Linked DNA regions of Drosophila melanogaster. The protein of the gene in region 1 interacts with the protein of each later gene in a pairwise test. Each region holds a gene or a part of one and is shown on either strand. Other genes may lie near its edges.

What was found.
Region 2: the proteins of CG34347 (region 1) and CG4270 interact in a two-hybrid assay, tested with the Drosophila melanogaster proteins (one large-scale study listed by BioGRID).

What each region holds. Positions count from the first base shown.
Region 1 is NT_033777.3:31,309,378-31,314,210, reverse strand, and holds the start of CG34347 (uncharacterized protein), read right to left. Parts: upstream 3,055-4,833; 5' UTR 2,280-3,054; intron 1-2,279.
Region 2 is NT_033779.5:2,261,558-2,264,862, reverse strand, and holds CG4270 (uncharacterized protein), read right to left. Parts: upstream 1,422-3,305; 5' UTR 1,306-1,421; coding exon 1,108-1,305; intron 1,048-1,107; coding exon 821-1,047; coding exon of another isoform or gene 817-820; exon of another isoform or gene 778-816; intron 767-777; coding exon 679-766; 3' UTR 622-678; downstream 1-621. Other genes in the region: CG34049 (uncharacterized protein), read left to right, coding at 1-91, 154-380, 443-596.

The DNA.
Region 1 (4,833 bases):
AGCCGAACTGAACAACTGAACAACAACTACACTGGTAACGTGAACGAACAGCCCTTTGTTCTTAAAGTTTTTACAGAAATTAATTAAGTGCCTCTGCTGCAAAGCAGGGGATTTATAGAGATTGTTAGGAAAGTTGCTGCTGCTTTCGCAGTGGCTGCCAGTTTGGTTTGGTTGCTTGTGGTTGGTTGGTTTAGTCTTGTGTCACATGAGCCAAAAGTCTATAAATTTGCAAGAGCCATAAAATTAGCTCGTAAAGTTTTGTTTTTAGTACAGCCCCCCCTGCTCACCATTAGTGTGTCCACATTTATAATGTCACTAATTAAAAAAGCGGATCCCAAGACCTGAAGTAATTTGGTCGAGCATTATTTTATTGCTTCAGATGGGAATCAGTCGAGTGGATTTACGACCCTGGCCAGTGATTAGTGGTATGAGAAACGGGTGCCAGCCAAAGTAACAAGCCTTTAAAGTGCCATGTATTCCCGCTTAATGTGACACTCGAATCGAGTGGCTTCCCCCTTTTTTTTTTTTTTGGATTTTCAATACCCCCCCAATCAATTCCTCGTTTCGGGCACCGCTTATGGCCATCAAAGAGTCATTTATAAACGAAACAGTTTTGTCAAATTTCGACGGATGGCCAATCCCTGCCTTCTAACCGGCGAACCCGCTGACAGCTGCCGCTCATCACTGATGGATGGGCGTTTTGCAGCTTTGGTTAGAAGAATACCGCGACTCGTGGCCTGGCTTTGCCGGCGATTAGAGGTGCTGAAAGGGTTAACCAGGCGATTTGTGATGGAGAAATGTTGGTCGGTAGGGGGGGGTGGCTTTTATCAGCAATCTGTTAGTGTGGCGAACATCATCATCGCCATCCGCATTTGCGGCAACTTCAAAGGCGGCGGCGACATCTTCTGACTGACTGACTGCGTGGTCGGTGTTTGACGTTGAATTTACAAATTACAGCTAATTAAAAGTTGATGAGTCTGCGTGAGTGAAATCAAGCGGCGGCGGGGGAATCTTCCCCAGCCTGATAAGCAAATGAGGAAGTCGGGAAAATTCGTTCGTGAAAAATTGTATTTACTTTGTGCTCACTTTTTCCCCACTCTGCCTACTTGCGCAAGTCATTCGAGTGTTCTGGTTGTCTGGCTGATGTTTATCTGGGGAAACTATGATGGGGCATCCGTTGCACAACATTGTTGGACAGGAAATGTTTTTTTCCATGCGAAATTCGGCCGGCGAAACACGCGGTGTGACACAGCTGCACTTATGTATGTATGTAGCTTATAACCATGCCATCAAATCATAGCTAGTCATATCCTGAACTAATAAAAAAAAATCTCTCCAAAATAAAAAAGACATTTCAAAGCATCGGAAGAAGTTTGCAATAATAATTGCGCAAACATTTGCCATGGCAACTGCTGACAATTCGGTGGCAAGAATTTCATTTTGCCTCGCTCAAAAGTTGGAAAAAGTAAATGCGCCAAATGAAAACATTTCCATGCCGATTTGTGTGGGAAAGAGCAGCGAAAATGATTATGCCAACGATGATGACGTTGACAACGACAACACAACGCAACACAGAAGCAGCAGCAGCAGCAGCATCAGCAGTTAATGTTGCTGTTGCAAGAACCACAATTGCGGAATTGACTTGCCCACACCAGGAGAAAATACTTGAGTGGATATTTGTCATTGTCAACAATCCCGAACCAACAATGAACTCTCTAACTAAGTTAAGAATTTTATGCAATACGTTAATGTGCAATAAACTGTTTGTTTGGGTGCGTATAGATTTTTTTCAGTGCATACCCGCCACAGAACTCTTGCATGTCAGGCACAAATAGCAAAAGAAGTCAGACAGGTAGGTTATCGCCATCGCAGCTTCATAATTAAATATTGTCAGCATGGAGGACGCTGCCTTGTTGCGGCCTGATGATGCAGACGATGCAGATGTGGCAGATGATTCAATTCCTGCTGCCGAGAACGCGTGCAACTTGATGGCCGAGAACAGGAAGTGCGAAAACTATTAGTGGCACTTATTTATTCATTAGAGCCAGTTAGAGACACCCAGCTAGCTGTGCTCCAATTATGCAGATCGTTGCGGCTGGAAGCCCCACAGCTGGGCAGCGATACGATGATTATAATGACTAAGATGAGGACGCATCAGGATGCAGGCACACGCTGCTCATTTCGCTATTTACACATTTGCATAATGACGACGCGATGTCATTGCACTTCGGCTGGTTCAATGTGCGTGATGAGTTATGGGCGGCGTACCACATGCTTACCTGCTTGAGATATCTTTATATGGGGTCTGCGAGGAGCGCGTTTTGGGGCAATCACTGGCTTATCAGCACACACAAATCAGAGCGGATACCGGAATGCTCATAGGACGAAGACACTTTTATGGCTAGATGTTGATTGTATGCAAAGATGATATTTTAAGTAGGGGAACGCTCGGTTCGGTTTTATTTTATTCCTCCGGCTTGCGCCACATGGGAGCTTTTTCCGAAGAACTGCGGCTCCCGCTCCCGCTCCAAAAACACACACACTCACCAACAACGAACACACACACGCCGGGCAATAATAAAAGCGTAAATGCTTATTTATTTGCAAGTCGTTCGCAAAATGCGCTCTTGTATAATTTATGAAGACCGCGCACACGACGTCGACAAGCTCGAGAAATGCGAAATGCTAAATCGAAAACCCGGCAACAAAAAGAAACCGAAATTGGACTTTTTATTTGATATATTCTCCGTTGATGGTCGTTTTTTGGTATCGGTCAGCGAGACCCTCGTAAAAAGTGCCCTTCAAGTCACAGAACCTGATGATTGTCCGGGGTCAGAGGTCAGAGTTTGCGGAGCAACTGCAGTCCATCAATCACAACTGCCGAATGCAGGCCGCCGAGTTTGCAGTTGGCCAACCGATCAAGCGGACCAAAACGACCGATAAATCCGACAGCAGCCGAAACCGAAGCCCAAACTCGATGCGAATTCCGATCCGAACCAAAACTCAGTAGTTCCGCTGCAGCGTGCGTTACGTGCGACGGTCCAACAGCAACTGGCCGAGCATCGACTTGGAGCCGCCTGGCTGAGCCCCCGGGTGGAACCTGTTTCTGGGGTGGACCGCGAGTGTGGATGGTGTTGCGACTCCGGAGTGGAGCAGGCGGCACTTTTGGCGCCAACTTTGGAGAGTTTCGAATGCCGGCTGGCAAAGAGAGAGCCATGGAGAGATGGCCGCAGAGAGCGCCGCCAGCACGTGGTGTGGCGCTAAGTACGGCTTAAGACTTGTATTGCAGGAATGATTCCAGATAAACACTTACGAAAATAAAGTAAAAGATAAAAAACGAAGGTAAATTAATGTTGTAATATGTGTGAATAATAATAAATAATTTTTAAAATGTACTACCTTATGTCTCAGCACATCTTATTATATTAATTCCTATCTTGCTGTATCCTAACCAATATTGTTTGCACATATATACACTTACAGTAACTACTATTTATAGTATATTTACGAATGACTGTAGCAAAACAAACCGCGAGATGTGTGTAGAGTTGGAGAGCGCATGCGCACAGCGAGAGCACAAACTCTGGGGGAAAAGACTCGAGTGGCGGCGACGAAAATAAATGCTACGGAATTGACAGGGGCGGCAGTTGGATTTGGATGAGTTCTTCTGGGGGGGGGGGGGGGAGATGCTTCAGACTGCGGAGAGGGGTGCTGGGACTACGACTGGGGTTAGTCAGCATCTGCTTTGTATCTTGCACGCCGAGTGATAGCTAAAGATACATGCCCATGCCGCCCCTCATCAAGCGGCCTTAAGTGCGCTTGTAGCTGTCTATCAGACAGAAATCACCCCATAGAACGTCGATGATCCGGGAAAAGAAGCCTGACGATCCGCGCAGAAGAGTACTCCTTCCTCGCCAGCAATTTGCAAACCGCAAGTGGCCGAGACGCATCGGAATTCGCTGTCCTCCAGCAACTGAAATCGACAAAATACACACCCCCCTGCCTATCGATCAGTGGTCATCAGCTGTGGAATTTCCTCGGAAATATTTATCTACGCTAATTTCCCTGCTTAACTTGGGCAAGTGCCGGGAAACCGCATCATGGGCTCGCTAGCAATTTTCGCCGCTCGCGTGCCAGCTTGTTGCAACATTGCTGCATTGCAACAGTGCAACAGTGCAACAGTGCACCATTGCAGCATCGCAAAACGCCTTTAACTCCGACTTCCCATAGAAAAGTTAGTTTCGGCTGTCCACTTTTGTCCAAGGGTCCGGAGATGCCTCCTCTTTGTGGCTCTGTGGCGTTTGGTTTATGGTTTATGCGCCGCCGTTTTTGGTCTATTAAAATGATTGCAGTATTTACGTAGCGCTCTTCAGCCATAATTTGTATTTGCTATGCTCATCATCATCATCATCATCATTGCGCAGGGGCCACTCGAAGGCGAAGGCGAAGGCACATCCTCCTGCTCTGCGGTTTTTCCGCCGCCTTCCCCTGCACAGAGGAATGCCCCCGGCATTTGACCCTTACCCAAAGTCTAAGCTCTTCTATTGCTATTGTTTATCTGCAACGAGCCAGGCCCAAAAACCAGTCTCTGCCATCGGGTTGCCTTCCCAATCTCAGCGGATTGTGCGTTCATAATTCTGGCCTTATCGCCCCTCTGGCGTCACAGTGTCGTATTTACCACGATTATTGATCGCTTAATACGAGTTTGCCGCTCTGCGTGTTTATTTGTGCAGCTTAGCGATACTGCGGCTCTGTTTTCTTGTATAAATATTTGTCGCATCGTGATCAATTACAGCTGACTGGGTTGACTGAGTCGCAGATACAAACAGAGTC
Region 2 (3,305 bases), on another chromosome or scaffold:
AAGGGAAACCAATAAGTACCGAAGGCTTCACAACGCCAATCCCCTGAAAATGGATGAAAAACTTTGTTCCTATGCACAGGAGTGGGCAGATGTATGTAGATGTATTTAATATAAATAGATCCTTTCTTTTTCACCTAAACTTGATTTCCACAGCATTTGGCTGATCTGAACAAACTGGAAACTCGACCTAATCCTCTTTACGGCGAGAATATTATGCGTGTCCGGAGATCCAAATTCTCCGTGGATCAAATACTGAAACTCTGGTACCAAGAAAAATACAACTACGATTACTTAAAGCCAGGCTTTAATTTGTACACTGGACATTTTACCCAGTTGGTTTGGAGAGAGTCAGAGTTCCTGGGAGTGGGCGTGGCATGCGAGTGGGTTCATAATTTTAAGTCATACTAAAAATAATCCGAAACTAACTACATTTTACACGCAGTGTTTCCTCCATTTGGATTGTGTGCAATTACCATCCGCCTGGAAATGTAAGCGAACATTTCAGGGAAAATGTCCTGCCTAGAAAATTCCTTCTACTTAAATCGGACTTGGATGCCAAGGAAACTAGAAAATCGAAACATCACAATTTAAAATAGAAAATGGTAAATAAAACAAACAAATACTGGACCTAGATTACGCTTTTATTATGCTTAAAATTTTGATCAAAAAATCCCAGAGTTATTGCTTTGGCGGCACATTATCCTTGAACAAACCCACAACATTGCCGGGAGGATTGTAGTTGCAAACCACCCAAGTTCTATCCGCTCTATTGGAAGACATGTATGAATAGGATTACCATAGCCATAGCCATAAGACTCACTTTCGGGCCACACCCGAACCCATTTCCACCGACGACTTCCAAATGAGCTGAGTAAAGTGTCCAGCGGTGGGCACAAACTGCGCCTTGTTGAAATCGTAGCTATTGATTTCCCGATACCACATTTCCACCGGCAGATCACCGGTCACATCCATTCCACCGGAGAGGAAAATGTTTTCGCCGTACTTGGGATTGGGTCTGTGCGCCATTGTGTTCTGATCGCGGAGATGCTGGAAATGGGTGCAAATTAATATAAAATACTATAGAATACTCTTTATCCCTCATCCTACATTGGCCCATTCCTGAGCCAGCTTATTTAGTGCAGCATTAATGGTCACCGCGGGACAGCCGTGCATTGCCCGATATTTATTGGTGGTATTGAAGACCTCCTTCAGGAAGAGCTCGTTGTTGCCCTTGGTATCCTGACCCCTGGGACCTGGAGGGCGCTCGTGGGTTTTGGGAATGGGCGCTACGTTTCTCTTCGCCATATTTCTTTGGGGGATTGGCTGGCGCCGTGATTTAGTTAACCAAATTTACGTATGCCTAATGACTTTTTAAGCTAGCTGGCTAGATCAACATTTCTCGTTTTTAAGTTACAAAATTAAGTGGTTATTATACATGTATACAAGGCAGTCAATTAAAATTTTCACTGAGTTCTGAATAGCTCACCCATCAATCACAATGTTTTGTTTACAGCCGAAAAACCCTTTTTTCAAACCGCCTCATAATCTGGCCTAAACATCGGTATTAGCATTGTGATTGATACCGCAAACACAGGCTGTGGGTGACGGATTCACAGGACGTGTGCGTGCCCAAATCCATTGACGGGAATTAGACAGACTGTATCACACATCCTTCTTCTGCATCTGCCGATGGGATTAACCAACGTGACGTATGAGTGATGCATGTCACTGGGTTTGGTTATTAATGAGCCGGCGATTCTTTCGCAATCCAGCCATATGGCTGGATATGTAGGTGCAGGCAAATCGGGCAATTGGAGTGGCATTAATTGCCGACTGAATCGAGCTGGATAATGCGAGTTGGCCGACATGGAGGCCCCTTATCAATCGCCCGCAGCGCCGCCCATGGAAGTGCAAATTTCGATGTCGAAACACTCGGAATATTAAATTATTTAAGTGTGTGAGTGTGTGTCTGCGCTGCGGGTGGTGCTTCAAGTGTGAATCCCTAATGAGTTGTGCAAATGCAAATCAATGGACCGGCCGATGTCGCTGCTCCCGGCAGAGATTAAGCCGATGCTCCGATGTACAGATAGGCGGATACAGCCGCAGGACAGGCTGACTCGCTGAAATTATCCTGTGCGCCGCAAGGTGGATGCGGGGTCACAGCATTGCGTTTGATATACTCATGTGCCAGGCACTAAATTATGGCCCAGCTCATTGATTTATGTGAATTTGTGTACTAAGTACTTAAGTACTCGGCCATAAGCTTAAAGCTGGATAAAATAGTTTATTAAGCCGCGAATTTAAATAAGTATTAATGTTAATACAGATTAAAGCCAATTTGGTTAATTGGTAATATATAATTCAATCAATATCAAAGATTAGGATGAATTTCAATTCAATTAATCGGGAGCTCCCTTTTCCATTTCTTATTTTCATTTGCTCTATAGACAAAGATATTTTCGAAATGGATAAATGGCTCCATTTAAGCCGCTGGTAGAATTTCTGGTAATATTGTAATAAACTTTAAGCCTGCTCGCTGCATTTCAGGTTTCCATGGCCTCTGTCAGAAACGCGATGCACAGTCGCGTCATCCGCACAATGCACAATTCACAATTTCGGTGCCATCGGAGTTGGAAAATGTGTGGTTGGGTGGTTGGGTGGCTGGGGGATTGGGTGGTTCAGTGGCTGGGTGGCCAAATTGTTTGGGTTGTAAGCTGGCCACAGTCAAAGCGTAAAACGCAAAGCGCACACGTTACTTTTCTGTCGATTTAATTAATTTCGCAAATTTGGTTTCGTTTATTTATGCATTGCTGGTCGAGTGGAGGGTACAGTGCGCGCCATACGCAAAATAAATACACTCGCACTCTTATTTCGAGCATGCGGGCATTATATACATAGATGGTATCTGATATATCGTATCTGGTATCTGGGCAAACAGGCTCGCATTTCCATCAACCACACGGCATCCGGAGCCGGATGCACTCGGTTGCACATACGGATACTGCCTTTAATTCCGATTCCCATTGATTCGAATTGGTCATGTTTTGGCATAGGGTAAGTACCGCACAAAAAATGAATGCACAATTTAAAAAGTTCATTCTGAATTTGAAGCCAAACAATCTCAACTGCAGCCAATAAATGTATTCTTGTATTCCAGCAGATTTCATTGGTAGCATGCGTATTCCAATGTCGTTAAGCTTAAGTATTCCCAACGATTTCAAATGTTATAAGCTTCACATTCCACACCTTTTAGTATCACTTACTCTTTAAATCCATTAACAAAGTGCCAAAGGTTAATGAATAGC